Macaca fascicularis: one gene and its partners. The protein of the gene in region 2 purifies or fractionates together with the protein of the main gene of each other region. This does not show direct contact. Links are inferred from orthologs where the notes say so. Each region holds a gene or a part of one and is shown on either strand. Other genes may lie near its edges. The genes, in order: TCEAL2, USP11, TCEAL4 and MYH9.

Region 1 (4,078 bases), about 61 Mb from region 2:
CTTGAGAACTTCAGCCCATCAGCATCAATGGGAGCTTTAGGAGGGTGCAAGATTTATAAGAAGGAGCGCAGTGCCCAGTGGACATGACATTGTCTAAGAGAGGATGGCACCCACCTTTCAGTTTCCTAGACTTATTCCTGGATACAGGTAAGATTTACCCTAGTTCTCTTCCAAGTGTCTGAGGGGGTATTTTTTCTGCTAGAGCAGGGGAGAAGGTAGATGTCAACCCAACACATATATTCTCTACCTCATCCAACCCACTCAGCAGTTCTGAAAAGCGAAGTATTATCTCCATTTGACAAACAACAAGACTGTCCATTAGAGCAATGGATCTGTAATAACCCCAGGTTGACTTCTCCAGATGAGTCCCACAGGTAGGTAATGTGAATTTTACCTATCGTTTTAAGTTCTGACAACAAGAACTTTAAGTGTCTCTACTGAACTTCATAAGTTCACTGGACAGTTATTCTCTTTGTTTTTTACATACTGTGTTCTGATTTTTAAAAATATTTTATTATTTTTGTGAGAAAAGTAATTTGTGTTCTCTGGGAAAAGAAAGATTAGTAGAAAGAAAGAAAACAAAGAAATGAAATCACCTGCTAGCTCACAACTCAGAAAACCACTGTTAACCTTTCATGTATTTAACAAAAACAGACAGATTCTGCAGATGATATTACAAGCTGCTTTATTTTTCCATGAATCATGACGTCTCTGAAATGCACAGGTGTGAAAATCTGCTACTGAAACAGAGCAAGCAAGCACTGGCAGGTGGGTCAAAAGGCTACTGGTAGCAGGAGGAACAACTAAAGCAAAGTATTACCATAAGGTTAAAACATATGGCCTGATAAATGCCTGCCAGGGACACTACACGTAAGGAATGTCTTCAGTGTCCCTTCGTGGGGCCCTGCAGCCACCCCTGAATTCCCTTGGACCCCTAGGATAGAAGGGGTCCTGTAAATTTCTTTGCATCCACAAAAACGCCCCCAATTTCTGTTTGCTTTTTCTCCTTTTATCCTCCACCCTAGCCATGTTGTCAAATTCTCTTATCATGTCCTCATTGCTGAAATTCATATCATGTATGGCTTCCTTATATTGCTTGAGGTACTGAGCCAGCCCCTTGTTTGTTTTTCTTTTGGCTTTCCTGGGTATATCATCCTCAGCTGGGCGCTTTCCTGCAGACCTCCTTTCACTTTCTGGCTCTCCCTCACTCTCTGGCTCTCTTTCACTGTCTGGCTCTCGTTCCCCCTCTGCCCTTCCCCCTCTCTCTGGCTTTCCCTCTCTCTCTGATCCTCCCTCCATCTCTGACTTTCCCTTCCTCTCTGACTTTCCTTCTCCTTTTGCCTTTCCTGCACTCTCTGGCTTTTCTTTATCCTTTAACGGTTCCTCATCTCCTGTCTTGCCCTTGTTTTCTGTCTTTCTCTCGTTTTCTAACGTCTTGTCTTCCAGAGTACAAGCTACTTCTGGCTTTCCCTCGTCCGGTGGCTGTTCTTCATTTTCTATCTTTCCTTGGTTCCAAAGCATTCCTTCATTTTCATTGAAGAATTTTTCCATGTCGAGATTTCCCCTCCTTTTCCTTTCCTGGGGGATGCGGGTTGAGGGAAGGGGAGACAAAGAGGAGACATGGGAGACTGAGGGCCTGGCGTGGAATGCAGGTCTGGATACTACTTGCATCTCACCCCTGGTGAGGGTTCCCCTAAGCTGACCGGACCTCCAAGAGGGCCTTCTGCCCACCACATAGCCTGCCACTCCTCCCACACACGTGAGCCAGCTGTTCCCTGACAGGCCCTGCCACCTTCTCTGCACTGGTTCAGCCTGGTAAGGTGTGTGTTCATGTGGGTGGGTGGAAGGGCAGGGGCCCCGATTCGGCCCTAGCTGGGTCCTTCACACTCTCAACCCTTGTGGGCCCCTGTCCATGCAGCCCCCTGCTTTCACGAACCTGCGGGGGATTCTGGACAGGTTGCTCCTCCTTTTCAGGCCTCTTAGAGCGCTGGGAACAACAGACGCGCAGACCTGCGGACAGATAGGAGACAGGGGCAGGGACTGCGCGCTCAGCGGGCTCACAGGGGACTCGGTTCCCTTTCCTGAGTCCAGGCCCTGTTCACCCAACGTTTTTCTCCCCTACATCCCCCGCACCCCAACCGCCATTTCTTTCCAGGCCTCGGGCACCAAACCAGGATGCTTTCCAAACTGCGTTTGTCTCTGTGTCCCCCTTCCCTGAGACAACCTGCCCCAGCGCCACCCCATTTTTGCGGAGATCAAGTGTTTCTATGGGCGTAGATTGTGAGAAGGGATTATTTCTAGAATATGTCTACGTTTCACTGTCGCACTGCGGAGTCGCTACCCCCACCCCTCATTTCTAGCACTAAAAATGGATGGATGACTCAGTGCAAGGGGGCGTCGTGAAGGCGAGCCAGGCTCGCTTCGGGAGTTCTCCCTCCCCTGTCCCCACCCCGGTCCGCTCCGCAGGCATCCCCTTCCTCACCAATCTACAGGATTCCTTCTCCGCTCCCTCCCCAATCCTACTGCCAGCCCCCTCCACCCCTGTCCCAGGGGCCGCCGACAGCGCCCGCTTTCACACTGACCTGCGGGTACCCAGGACACGCCTGTGCTTCCTCCGGCTCGCGGAAGCCGGCTCGCTGCTCCCCAGCAGTCTGGGCAGCTCAGACAGCTTATTCTGCGCGGGCGCCGGGACCCGACCGCTGGGCTGGCTGGCGGGCTGGCGTGGGGGCTGGTGCCCACGTAGGCGTCCGACGGATCACGTGAGCGCCGCGTCACTGGAGCTCGGCCCAGCTCTTGCCCGACACACCTCACCCTGGAGCTCGGCGCCCCCTCTTGCCTGACATACCTCATCTTCCATCCCTGAGGGACCGGAGGCTGGGGACTGTCGGAGTCTCGGTGCGTTTGTGTAGCAAAGTGGGGTCGCGGAGAAGAGGAGGAGGGGTGGCTTTCTGACCCCAGGTGCTTTACCTGACGCAGCTCACAGCATCCTCGCAAGGCATCTCTCTCTGATGCCCATTATCGCCAGGTGTGACAGCTGATCAAAGAGGGTACCCGACTTTGCCAAGAGGGCTCAGCCCCAGAACTCCACAGCCCACTTTCAATACTGGCTCTGCCTGACTCCAGAGCCCGGGGTAGTGACGCCTGCCAGGAAGCTGAGCTGCCACCTTGAGTGGCGGTGTTCCTGGGGTTCTGTCCTGGGCCTCCTCTCTCCTCAGTCCTCAAGTTGTCTCTCCCTGTGTGATCTCATTCATTTCCAGAAAGCACCGATGACTCCCAGATCTACATCTCCAGGCTATTCCCTTCTCCGTGTCTCATATCAACTTTGCCAACTCTCTATTGGACATCACCGCCCGAGAGTCCCTGAGGGACCTAAAAGCCCGTGTACCCCAAATTTATTTCACCAACTTCCTTCTTGCCATCTCCCATGGCCTCTCTGCGCACTTGAAACTTACCTTCCAACATTTGATCAGTTTTCATAGAGAGAGAATCTCAGACAGGTAGAAAAGAAAGCATTAAAACCTTTTAAATATGAATTTCAGATGTACAAATTCATCATAGTCCTTGGTTTACAAGACACCCTTATTATTGATCCCTGCTTGTCCCTCTTCCTTCCCTTTTCTTTCCTGTCCTGTTATGTCCTTCCCTGCCCATCCTTTGTCTTTTTTTCTTTCCTTTTCTTTCACATTTGTGAAGCTACCACCCACAAAAACTAAAAGTTACCAATATTTTAACTTCTACAGTGTAGTGACATGTATATGTATATATACACATATGTTTATTTATACACACATATATGTGTAGATGTATATTGTGTACATATATATGTGTATGTCGTGTGTTTTTTTGTGTGTGTAAATCTGGGCAACAACTATTTTGGTTTGCAAAATACCTTATCATGATTATATGATTATGAATTATGTATGTTACACAAACAATTCTGATTATATTTCTGCTACACATCTTTCTTCATTTAGTAAAACCTCGATCTTCCTACAATATTTTGCTCTATCAATATGTGTGTTTGTCATTATCACCACATAACCAACAGTACTGTCCTCAATGTTGAATTTTTTCCTGA
Region 2 (3,133 bases):
GAGACCTGAGCATCATAAGGAGTGAAATCCTATAGATCATTGGGAAACAACATTCCCGGAGAAGGAACAGCCCAGGTCAAGGCTCTGGGGTAGGAGTCTGCTCAGGGGATCGGTGGCCAGGGTAGCAGGAAAGGTTTGAGCGTGGAGGAGGGAGGAGAGAAGTGTATTTAAAAAGCTAAATATAGGCTGGGCGCGGTGGCTCACGCCTGTAATTCCAGCACTTTGGAAGTGTCCAGCACTTTGGAAGAGACAACTGAAGACAAGATGAAGATCACCTGAGGTCAGGAGTTCGAGACCAGCCTGGCCAACATGGCGAAACCTGTTTCTACTAAAAATACAAAAATTAGCCAGGCACAGTAACGGGTGCCTATAATCCCAGCTACTCAGGAGGCTTAGGCAGGAGAATTGCTTGATCCTGGGAGGCAGAGGTTGCAGCGAGCCGAGATTGCGCTACTGCACTTCAGCCTGGGTGACAGAGCCAGATTCTGTCTCGAAAAAAAAAAAAAAAAGCTAAATATAGTAGTGCCATCCAATGAAACCCCCACACACAGGCCCCGCTCTGGCCCCTCACCAGGGGTTTTCCTTCTCCAGGGTCTCCACAGTGGTGAAGAGCTCAATGCACTCCTGCAGCCGCACGGGAGCCTTCTTCATCACGTACCCAACGCAGTCATGCTTCACGTAGCCCTAGGGTTGGGTGAGCAGACGGCCAGGTGGCCGGGTGTGAGGACGGGTGGAGAAATGGGGAGTAGGGGCCCAGGAGGGGAGACACGCACCGAGTGGGTCAGAGCACCGACTTTGAAGCTAGGAACCTCAGGCCCTGGAGCTCTCAGTAGGTGTTCAGGCCCCAAGACCAGGCTTGACCTGGATCTCTTGGCTCTGTTCCTAGCTAGAGGAGTTGTGGAGAGGACGTACGAAGAGTTGAGGGGCAAGAGCTGAAAGTACCCCCCATCCCTGGGATCTCATTTACCTCAGCCTCTATCTCGTCATAGTAACGCTTCTTCATCTCTGGCTCCCAGTCAATAGCAATGTATGGCTGGGCTGGGGGCGAGGGAGAGATGGTCATGGTTCCTGCTGCCAGGAAATCTCCCCTCCGGCCTCCCCAGCCCTCATTGATAGCCAAAGGAGAATACCATGGACTTCTTCAGGGGAGGTTGTGCGGTCACTGGTCCCATTGGAGTTCACCGTCTGCAGGGTGAACAGCTGCTTGCGCCGTCGCCTTGGGGGCCACTGAGATGTGCCAAGGCAATTGTCCAGGAGGAATGGGCACCTGTTCGTGACTCCAGAGCTGGGCCCAGCCTGCTCTGGCTCAGGGTCTCGGAGGCTGCCCCCAGTTGAGGGCCCAGGGACGTCGTCTTTATCCTCTTCGTCATCTTCTAGGACAGGAGGATGTCAGAGATGGGAAGGTGTGAGCCTCAAGTGCTAAGATGCAATGCACACCTAGACGAACCCCGTGTGGGTAAGACCTAACCCAGAGCCCCCGCCCACTGACTGTTAGCCCCCTCACCTTTCTCATCCCCATCGTCCTCATCATCTGAGTTGGGTTTAGACACGTAGCGTCTGCAACAGAGCAAAGGAGACTCCCAAGGCAGGGGTACAAGGACAGTGGGGATAGAGCCCAGGATTTTACTTAGATGATAATGGGAAGCCACTGGAAGACCCACACGTAAACCATTCTGAATTTGAGGTGTGAAAGGGCTGAGGGCGTGATGCGTAAATGCACGAAGAGGCCAAGGCTGTCAGCAGTGGCCTGAGAATGAAGGAACTTGTGTCCCAGTCAGAGGTGTGGAGTGTGATTAGCTGGGCATGGTGGCACACGGCTGTAATCTCAGCTATTTGGGAGGCTGAGGCAGGAGAATTGCTTGAATCCAGGAGATAGAGGTTGCAGTGAACCAGATTGTGCCACTGCACTCCAGCCTGGGCAACAGAGCAAGACTCCGTTTCAAAAAAAAAAAAAGAAAAAAAAAGAGTGTGGAGCGTGGACTTTTAGTCTAATAAGCCACTGCTAGACAGGCACATGCCAGCTGTAACTTCCCATCAGGGAAGGCCTCTAAGGAGTGACTTCTGAGTGCAAGATGAGGGGCTAGAATTCTGATAACACAATGTTTTGTGTGCCACGGTAAAGACTCTAGATTTTTGGCACAATGAAAATTTGTCAGCAAAAAGACAAAAAACCAAGACTCTCCCAGGAGGCACAACTGACCCCAGGAGAGACAACTGAAGACAAGATGAAGTTGTCTGTGTTTTGTGCATCTTGTTCACCTCTGTATCCCTAGCACCCAAGAGAGGCAGTAGCAAAGCCAGAGGTCTAGAGAAAGAAAAAACCCTACAAGTTCTTCTATGTCCACGTAAAGTTTGGACTGTCTTTTGTTTGTTGCAGGGGAGGTGTCAAATAAGCAGCTGAACACCCAAGTTGGAGTTCAGACCCCACCACCCCCGCCCCTGGGGAAGAGGACACTTACGAGAGCCGGTACATCAGGACGTTATACAGGCCCTCCCAGGTGAAGCGGTCCCGGGGCACTGATACCAGGAGGGGGTGCCCAAAAAGCATCAGGCCATAGTAGGAATTGTTGTAGTCACGGGCAGGGGTGCGCTCCCGCAGGTAGACAGGAACCACGATGTCCTCTCTCGATCCCTCGATGGCCTCAATGCGACCTGACACCTCATAGCTGTGGGGGGTGGAGAGCAGGCACACCTGATCGGGGCCCCCAGAGACTCCCTAACTCTGCCCTGGCTGCCCCACCCACTCATCCTCACAGCCTGAAAGTATTTTTATTTTTTTTTATTTATTTATTTTTGAGATGGAGTTTCGCCCTGTTGCCCAGGCTGGAGTGCAGTGGCGTGATCTCGGCTCACTGCAAACTCCGCCTCTCGGGTTCACGCCATTCTCCTGCCTCAGTCTCCCAAGGCACGTGGCTGAAGCTCTGCACAGGGCAGGTGCCCAGTGAATGAGGCAGAGCAGGGAAGAGAGAAGGTGGTTAAGGCAGGACCATATAGAAGGAAGTGGACCAAGTTCCTGAGGGACCGCCATCTCCCCGTCATCCCCACTCACACGAAGATATCATCGCGGTCCAAGATGCTGCTCAGAGGCTCCTCCAGCTGATAGAGCTTATAGAAGCGGTGACTGAAGACATCA
Region 3 (3,885 bases), about 63 Mb from region 2:
AATATCAAGGCCCAAGTGACAATTGGGTACTAACAACCTGAATTAGGATAACTCTATTGTAGGTAGAGACGGAATTCTCCACTTTTCTGTTGGGACATAGTGTTGCTTAGTCCATCATGGTCTCCAGCCCAGCAGCAGCAGCTACTGCCTTAGGAGGGTGCAGGATCCATGAGAAAGGGGCATACTACCTTTCAAGTATGGCATTACCCAGAAAGAGTGGCACCCATCTCTCAGCTGTCTGGACTTATTTCTGGGCACAGGTGAGACCTCCTTCAGCCCTCCCCAAGCGTCTGACTGGGTACTGGTTCTGCTAGTGCAAGGGGAGAGAGTAGGAGCCAGCCTAACACAGCTCACACACTCAATACCTCATTTGATCTTCTCCACATGTCTAGGCTAATTTTATCCCCGTTTCACAGATGTCAAGGCTGTCCCTTACAGCAATGGAGCTGTAATAACCATCGAGTTGACTCCTCCAGCTTCCAGTCCCAGAGGTAATGCAACTTTTACCCATCATTTTATGTCCTGACAACAAGAATTTTAAGTATATCCACTGTCTTTATAAGTTCACTGGGCAGTTCATTTGAATGCTTATTCAAATGAATGAAATTCAAATATTCACTGTTTTCCAATATTTTAACTTTTATTATTTTTATGATTAAGAAATCTGTTTTTAGGAGAAAAATGGACAGATGAACAAAAAAGTACAGAAAAAATCACGCACAGATAACCACTGTTAATCTTTTAGTTGACACAGCTTTCAGAATTGTTTTCTATACATAAATTACTAGGTATCTTTGTAGTTTTACAAAAATGTACTGATGCCATATGTTTGGTTCTGCAAGTTGTGTTTTTTAATTTTACAATGCACCATCAACATTCTTTCCATGTAACGGATGAAAATTTGCTACTAAGAACACCGCGTTGCAGTTGGGTCAAAAGGCTGCTAGTAACAGGAGGGATGCCTAAAGTAAAGTACTACCGTCGGGGTAAAGCACATGGCCTGGTAAATGCCTGCCAGGGACACTACACATAAGGAATGTCTTCAATGTCCCTTCGTGGGGCCCTGCAGCCACCCCTGAATTCCCTTGGGCCTCTAGGGTAGAAGGGGTCCTGTAAATTTCTTTGCATCCACAAAAACGCCCCCAATTTCTGTTTGCTTTTTCTCTTCTCATCCTGCACCTTAGCCATATTGTCAAATTCTCTTATCATGTCCTCATTGCTGAAATTCATATCGTGTATGGCCTCTTTATACTCCTTGAGGTAATGAGCCAGCCCCTTATTAGTTTTTCTTTTGGCTTTCCTGGGTACATCACCCTCAGCTGGGCGCTTTCCTGCAGCCCTTGTTTCACTCCCTGGCTGTCCTTGACTCTCTGGCTTTCCCTCTATCCCTGGTTTTCCCTCTCTCTCTGATCCTCCCTCCATCTCTGACTCTCCCTCCCTCTCTGACTTTCCTTCTTCTTTTGCCTTTCCCTCACTCTCCGGCTTTCCTTTATCCTTTAACATTTCCTCATCTGTTTTGCCCTTGTTTTCTGTCTTTCCCTCGTTTTCCAACTTCTTGTCTTCCAGAGTACAAGCTACTTCTGGCTTTCTCTCGTCCTGTGGCTGTTCTTCATTTTTCATCTTTCCTTGGTTTGAAGCCATGCCTTCATTTTCATTGTAGAGTTTTTCCATGTCGAGATTTCCCCTCCTTTTCGTGCCCTGGGGGATGGGGGTGGAGGGAAGAGGAGACAAAGAGGAGACATGGGAGACTGAGTGCGTGGGATGAAATGCAGGTCTGGATAGTACTTGCATCTCACCCCTGATGAGGGTTCCCCTGAGCTGGCGGGGCCTCCAAGAGGGCCTTCTGCCCACCACGTAGCCTGCCACTCCTCCCACACACGTGAGCCAGCCATTGCCTGGCAAGCCCTGTCACTTTCTCTGCAGTGGTTCAGCCTGGTAAGGTGTGTGTTAATGTGGGTGGGGGGATGGGCGGGGGCCCCAATTCGGCTCTGGCCGGGCCCTCCACACTCTCAACCCTTGTGGGCCCCTGTCCATGCAGCCCCCTACTTTCACGGACCTGCGGGGATTCTGGACAGGTTGCTCCTCTTTTTCAGGCTTCGCAGAGCGCTGGGAACAACAGACGCGCAGACCTGCGGACAGACAGGAGACAGGGGTAGGGGCTGCGCGCTCAGCGGGCTCACAGGGACTCGGTTCCCTTTCCTGAGTCCAGGCCCTTCTCATCCAACGTTTTCCTCCCCTACCTCCCCCGCACCCCAGCCGCCATTTCTTTCCAGGCCTCGGGCACCAAACCAGGATGCTTTCCAAACTAATTTTGGGTCTCTGTGTCCTTCTTCCTCAGAGGCAACTCTCCTCCCCAGCCTCGCGGTCAACGTTTTTCTCTATGTACGGGAACGGCAGAGGGGGTTTACTTCCACTGTCTCACTACTGGGGCGTCCCCAGCCCACCATCTCCGGCTCCAAAATGGACGGAGGGCAGAAAAGAGGATGTGCCTGGAAAGCGAGCATGGATACTTGGAGGTGCTCGCCTTCCTCACCCTCTGCCCACTGCCTACGTGCTCCCCCTCAGCCACCTTTAGCCGTTTTCCCACCGCCATCTCTGTCCACACTCGGGCCAGCTTCCCTCGACTCGACCCGACCCCACCCCCAGCCTTTCCCGGTACTGTACCCGTTCCCCTTCCGCCATTCCAGTATTCCGCTGGCAGCGTGGAAGGCCCGCACACTGACCTGGAGGAAGCTGGACCAAGAATTAGGAGCCCAGGAACTGGAGCAGACGGGACCCAGCCGCGGGGACAGAGGGCGGGCACTCGGACCGGTGCCCACATCTGCGCCCAGGCAGATCACGTGAATGCCGCAGCACAGGAGTTCCACCGCCCCACGCCCCACGCCCCGCCTCCTAGCCAGCCGCTTCCAGCTACCCACCACCTCTCTCCAGCAGGTACCCTCTCACCTCCCTGGACCCTTTTGTCCTTTTCTTCTTGTTAAGAAATTAATCAAAGAAGGAATTTTAATGAAAATCGCAAAGTTGTTTTTTTTTTTTTTAATGAGTTGGGCGGTCCAGAGGAGGAGTCTTGATAATGTTGCTCTTAAATTCCACAGAAATAACGTAGACCCACCCGATAAAATCGTATAAATGTGAACTCAAGTACTGTATAAAGAATAGAATATCGACTTTAGAAAAAACTTAATAAAAATTTTCCAAAATAAATGAAATTGTCCCTTTTTCCTGACATGTACAAACATAAATTTTCAAATGAATAAAAAAAGTTATATTTGAAGCAAAATAAAAACGATTAATTTATCTTAAGTGAGAAACTGAATGTACAGAGACAATGACCAGACCACATACGAAAATAGAACTGAGACCCACAACCGTTGCTGCAAGCAGCTCAAGAAGCCAAAGTATAGCATCTGCAGAAATGTTCAGGACTTTAATCAATTTGCTAGCCTTTCTGGCCTTTTTAATTTTTTTGACCTGATGACAAACAAGAAAAACCCAAATATGAACCCATACTCAATCACATAGGATGCTTGCCTCTAGTTGGCCTGCCTCTAGCTTCCTCACGTCAACAACATCCAATCAGAGCATACTTGAAGTCTTTGTGTTTTTGTTTTCCGCTATAAAGCTTTCCCACTCCCCTGCCTGTCTTTGAATCTCTGCCAGATTCAAATGATGGTGGCTTGACTTCCTTGCTATAAAAAAGCTGTGAATAAGTAGCACTTGTTTGTTCTCTTATGGGTAGTCTCCGTTTATCTCCACATAAGCTTTTGGTGTGGAAGGCCTTTAAATATAGTCACGTGCCACTTAATAATGGGGATATGTTCTGAGAAATGCATCAGGCAATTTCGTGGTGGTGTGAACATCGTAGAGTGTGGTTATACAAACCTA
Region 4 (3,697 bases), on a different chromosome or scaffold from region 2:
GCAGTCAGGGTGGGAGCAGCCCGTGAGTGTGCGTGATTGCAGGTTTATCTCCAAGTGCAAGGATGGGGCTGGGTGATGGGGACCCCGCAGACATCCCTACAGGGCACTGGCCCTGCTCTCTGGGAGCGGTCTCCGTAGAGCAAGAGGCTTGGTGTGGATGAGGGCTGGGAGCCCCCACAGTGGGCCTGAGGGTCAACCTCCCCCGGGCTTCACACGGTAGACGGATGCCCCTTTGCAGAAGCTCCATTTGTCTCGCCCCCGTGGAGAGGGAAGTGACTGGGGGAGGCGGTTTCATAACTGGGCGGATCCCTGGTGCCCCTTCCACGGTGTGGCAGGCAGGCTCCCAGCTGCCTCAGGGACGGGTGTGCCACCTGAGCAGGTGCCATCTCGGGCGTCTGCTTACTCCTGGCTCCTGCCCAGGTGGCCGACATGAAGAAGAAGATGGAGGACAGTGTGGGGTGCCTGGAAACCGCTGAGGAGGTGAAGAGGAAGCTCCAGAAGGACCTGGAGGGCCTGAGCCAGCGGCACGAGGAGAAGGTGGCCGCCTACGACAAGCTGGAGAAGACCAAGACGCGACTGCAGCAGGAGCTGGATGACCTGCTGGTGGACCTGGACCATCAACGCCAGAGCGCGTGCAACCTGGAGAAGAAGCAGAAGAAGTTTGACCAGGTGTGTGGCCACTGGCTCCGTCCTTTGTATTTCTTCAAGCACTGAGTCCAAGGCGAAGGGCCCGTCAGAGAAAGCCTGGGCTCCCTCAAGGTCTTGCCCGGGAGGGCCGTGCGGGGCAGCGCTTGGAGGCCCCCCCGTCTCTGGCTTGTCGAGGGACGCAGGGAGAAGGCCAGTGGAAGAGGGTGTCTTCCTGCAATGGGTTGAGGAGTGACTTTTCCTTTCTGGTTTTTTACATTTTTCAGATTTTCTGGAATTAAGTGGTTTGACTGTCTTTTAAACGATTTATTTATGCACTCATATCGCTTCCTTTTCCAAAATATCAGAGGGCAGCTGAGGGGGATGCGGACTCAGGGGCGGGATAGAACAGTAGAAGACACCGGGCAGCTGACTGCGGCAGTCGGGTCCAGCCCACTGCGTTTCGTGGGGAAAGATGGAGTGAACACAGCCACACTCCGTCGTTCTCGCGTTGTCTTTGGTTGCTTTGAGCTGTGGTAGTGGGGTTGAGCCATTGCTGCAGAGACCGTAGGGCCTGCGTACTCTAAAGAATACACTATCTGGCGCTTTAGGAAGTGGTCAGCCACCCATGGAATAATTAAGGTTTGGGCCAAAAGGAAGGGAAGCTGGGGAAATAGGATAGAGCCAGGTGGGTGCACACAGAGAACAGATGCCAGGGGACAGAAGCTTTCGTTAGAGGAGACCACAAATGGGGTTCAGGCTTCCTGGTAGCCAGCTTGGCATTCACTCCGTGAAAAATGCCAACCAAATGCCAACTTTGGTTCAGGAGAACCAAAGCTCTTACAGGTTTGGAGGGCTCTCATGGAAGGGGCAGCATGCCATAAAGGGTTACGATTAGTAAGTGATGAAAATTAAACAGATGTTACGACATGGCGTTCGCAGCAGTGCCTGCCCCAGTCGGCAGTCATCCCGTCATGAGGATGCACAGGACTGTGTGTGTTGTCCCGGGCACAGCCCTGGGCCTGTGCTTCCTAGATCTGCTCCTCTCCGCCGTGGCCTCTGGGCTCCGCGTTCCCCAGGGAGCTTAGGCCCAGCTGCTCTGCCCCGCCGGGGGCCGTAGCTCTGAGCCTGTGGTGCTGAGCCTCATGGTGCCCACCTCTCTCCCAGCTCCTGGCAGAGGAGAAGACCATCTCTGCCAAGTACGCAGAGGAACGCGACCGGGCTGAGGCGGAGGCCCGAGAGAAGGAGACCAAGGCGCTGTCGCTGGCCCGGGCCCTGGAGGAAGCCATGGAGCAGAAGGCGGAGCTGGAGCGGCTCAACAAGCAGTTCCGCACGGAGATGGAGGACCTCATGAGCTCCAAGGACGACGTGGGCAAGAGCGTGAGTGCTGGACCTGGCAGCAGGCTCTTGGGAGGGGCCCGAGGGGGGTCATCACAGAGGGTCGCTGTGTGCACAGACTCCGGGTCTCGCAGACCCCGGTACCTGCCAGTCCCTTTGCTCCTGACTTGGGCTCTCTGGGGCTCAGGTCCACGAGCTGGAGAAGTCCAAGCGGGCCCTGGAGCAGCAGGTGGAGGAGATGAAGACGCAGCTGGAAGAGCTGGAGGACGAGCTGCAGGCCACTGAAGACGCCAAACTGCGGCTGGAGGTCAACCTGCAGGCCATGAAGGCCCAGTTCGAGCGGGATCTGCAGGGCCGGGATGAGCAGAGCGAGGAGAAGAAGAAGCAGCTGGTCAGACAGGTGTGCATGGCCTCCTGCTTCCCCACGAGTGCCCAAGGCTGCCCTGGCTTCACGCAGGCTTCTGTTCTCTCCTTCCACTTGGATTATGTTAGGGCCCCTTGACCACGCCTCCCCTCCCATATCCCTCCTTTCCAGCCCCCTGTCTCGGGGTTCAGTGACTCACCTTCTTAGAGTTCTTATGGTCAGTAATCCCCACTGGCCCCCCAAGGCCCCATGGATCCTGCAGAACTGGCCTGAGGCTCCTGAGTTCAGAGCTAGGGCAGGGTCTCTGAGTGGGTCCAGCTTCCCAAGCTGTTGATTTCCCTTCCCCCAGGTGCGGGAGATGGAGGCAGAGCTGGAGGATGAGAGGAAGCAGCGCTCGATGGCAGTGGCTGCCCGGAAGAAGCTGGAGATGGACCTGAAGGACCTGGAGGCTCACATCGACTCAGCCAACAAGAACCGGGAGGAAGCCATCAAACAGCTGCGGAAGCTGCAGGTGAGGGTGGGCGGGGCCCAGGTGAGGGTGGGCGGGGCCCAAGCCAGCCAACTACATGTGAAGGTGCCGGGCCCGGGGCAGGAACCTGGCAGGGTGGCACCTCCTGGGAAGGTCCTGGGTGCTTCCAGCCCCATCTCACTGACAGAGACTCAGAGGCTCGGAGGTGAGTGGAAACATGATAGTCCAACAGCAGACTTGCAAAACGGTGAATGACTGAGTACATAAAACACAGAAGCAAACAAGTACAAGCCTAGACATGGGTGGAGTTCGAGAAGGTCTCACTTAATGCAGATTTCCAGAATCAGCCGGGTGCTGACACCCTCCAGCCTTCTGGGCTCTGGGGTGATGGTTCTGAGCAGCAGCCCAGAGTGCGGGACACGTACTTGGAAATCTTTACCTCACCAATAATTAAAGAATAATTAACACGTAAAAACAGCTCTGATACACCATATCATGTAACAAGAATAACCTTAGTTTAAAAAAAATTTTTTAAGTGTAAAAAAAAAAACCCACAAAAACTTTAAAACCTCTCTGTGGTCAGGGTTGTGGGCATAGCTACTGTGATTGCTGGTGGCATTTTTTTACTGGTGTGGTTGAGCTGTACACAGCCAGTCATGCTCTTTGGTTTGGGGAATCTCAATTTAGGATTTATCTGCAAAGATCTTTATTGTTCTAACAAATAACAGGAGAATAACAAAAGGAAAGGTGTTTCCTGCCTGTGGTGGGGACGGCCCGGCAGGCTGGGCACTGGTTTTGAGGGGCAGGTGCACATTAGGGGTGGCACCGTGGGCACCAGCTTCCGGCCCACAGGAGGGGACAGAAAGTAGGAAATGAAGCTCAGCTTGGGCTCACGTCCACGG

Evidence for each region.
Region 1: the proteins of USP11 (region 2) and TCEAL2 purify together in Homo sapiens (affinity purification with mass spectrometry; 3 studies listed by BioGRID). This does not show direct contact. The link is inferred for Macaca fascicularis from reciprocal best matches to the Homo sapiens genes USP11 and TCEAL2.
Region 3: the proteins of USP11 (region 2) and TCEAL4 purify together in Homo sapiens (affinity purification with mass spectrometry; 3 studies listed by BioGRID, with this or other methods). This does not show direct contact. The link is inferred for Macaca fascicularis from reciprocal best matches to the Homo sapiens genes USP11 and TCEAL4.
Region 4: the proteins of USP11 (region 2) and MYH9 purify together in Homo sapiens (affinity purification with mass spectrometry; 3 studies listed by BioGRID, with this or other methods). This does not show direct contact. The link is inferred for Macaca fascicularis from reciprocal best matches to the Homo sapiens genes USP11 and MYH9.

The regions. Positions count from the first base shown.
Region 1 is NC_088395.1:108,616,083-108,620,160, reverse strand, and holds TCEAL2 (transcription elongation factor A protein-like 2), read right to left. Parts: upstream 2,711-4,078; 5' UTR 2,583-2,710; intron 2,011-2,582; 5' UTR 1,937-2,010; intron 1,579-1,936; 5' UTR 1,552-1,578; coding exon 865-1,551; 3' UTR 669-864; downstream 1-668. UniProt on the Homo sapiens protein: May be involved in transcriptional regulation.
Region 2 is NC_088395.1:47,350,375-47,353,507, reverse strand, and holds part of USP11 (ubiquitin carboxyl-terminal hydrolase 11), read right to left. Parts: coding exon 3,050-3,133; intron 2,667-3,049; coding exon 2,460-2,666; intron 1,558-2,459; coding exon 1,505-1,557; intron 1,374-1,504; coding exon 1,131-1,373; intron 1,039-1,130; coding exon 968-1,038; intron 685-967; coding exon 572-684; intron 1-571.
Region 3 is NC_088395.1:109,960,227-109,964,111, reverse strand, and holds TCEAL4 (transcription elongation factor A protein-like 4), read right to left. Parts: upstream 2,339-3,885; intron 2,153-2,338; coding exon of another isoform or gene 1,965-2,152; exon of another isoform or gene 1,908-1,964; intron 1,699-1,907; 5' UTR 1,672-1,698; coding exon 1,024-1,671; 3' UTR 620-1,023; downstream 1-619. Other genes in the region: uncharacterized protein, read left to right, coding at 1,965-2,152, 2,339-2,981. UniProt on the Homo sapiens protein: May be involved in transcriptional regulation.
Region 4 is NC_088384.1:15,392,309-15,396,005, forward strand, and holds part of MYH9 (myosin-9), read left to right. Parts: intron 1-420; coding exon 421-669; intron 670-1,791; coding exon 1,792-2,004; intron 2,005-2,149; coding exon 2,150-2,362; intron 2,363-2,675; coding exon 2,676-2,837; intron 2,838-3,697. UniProt on the Homo sapiens protein: Cellular myosin that appears to play a role in cytokinesis, cell shape, and specialized functions such as secretion and capping. Required for cortical actin clearance prior to oocyte exocytosis. Promotes cell motility in conjunction with S100A4.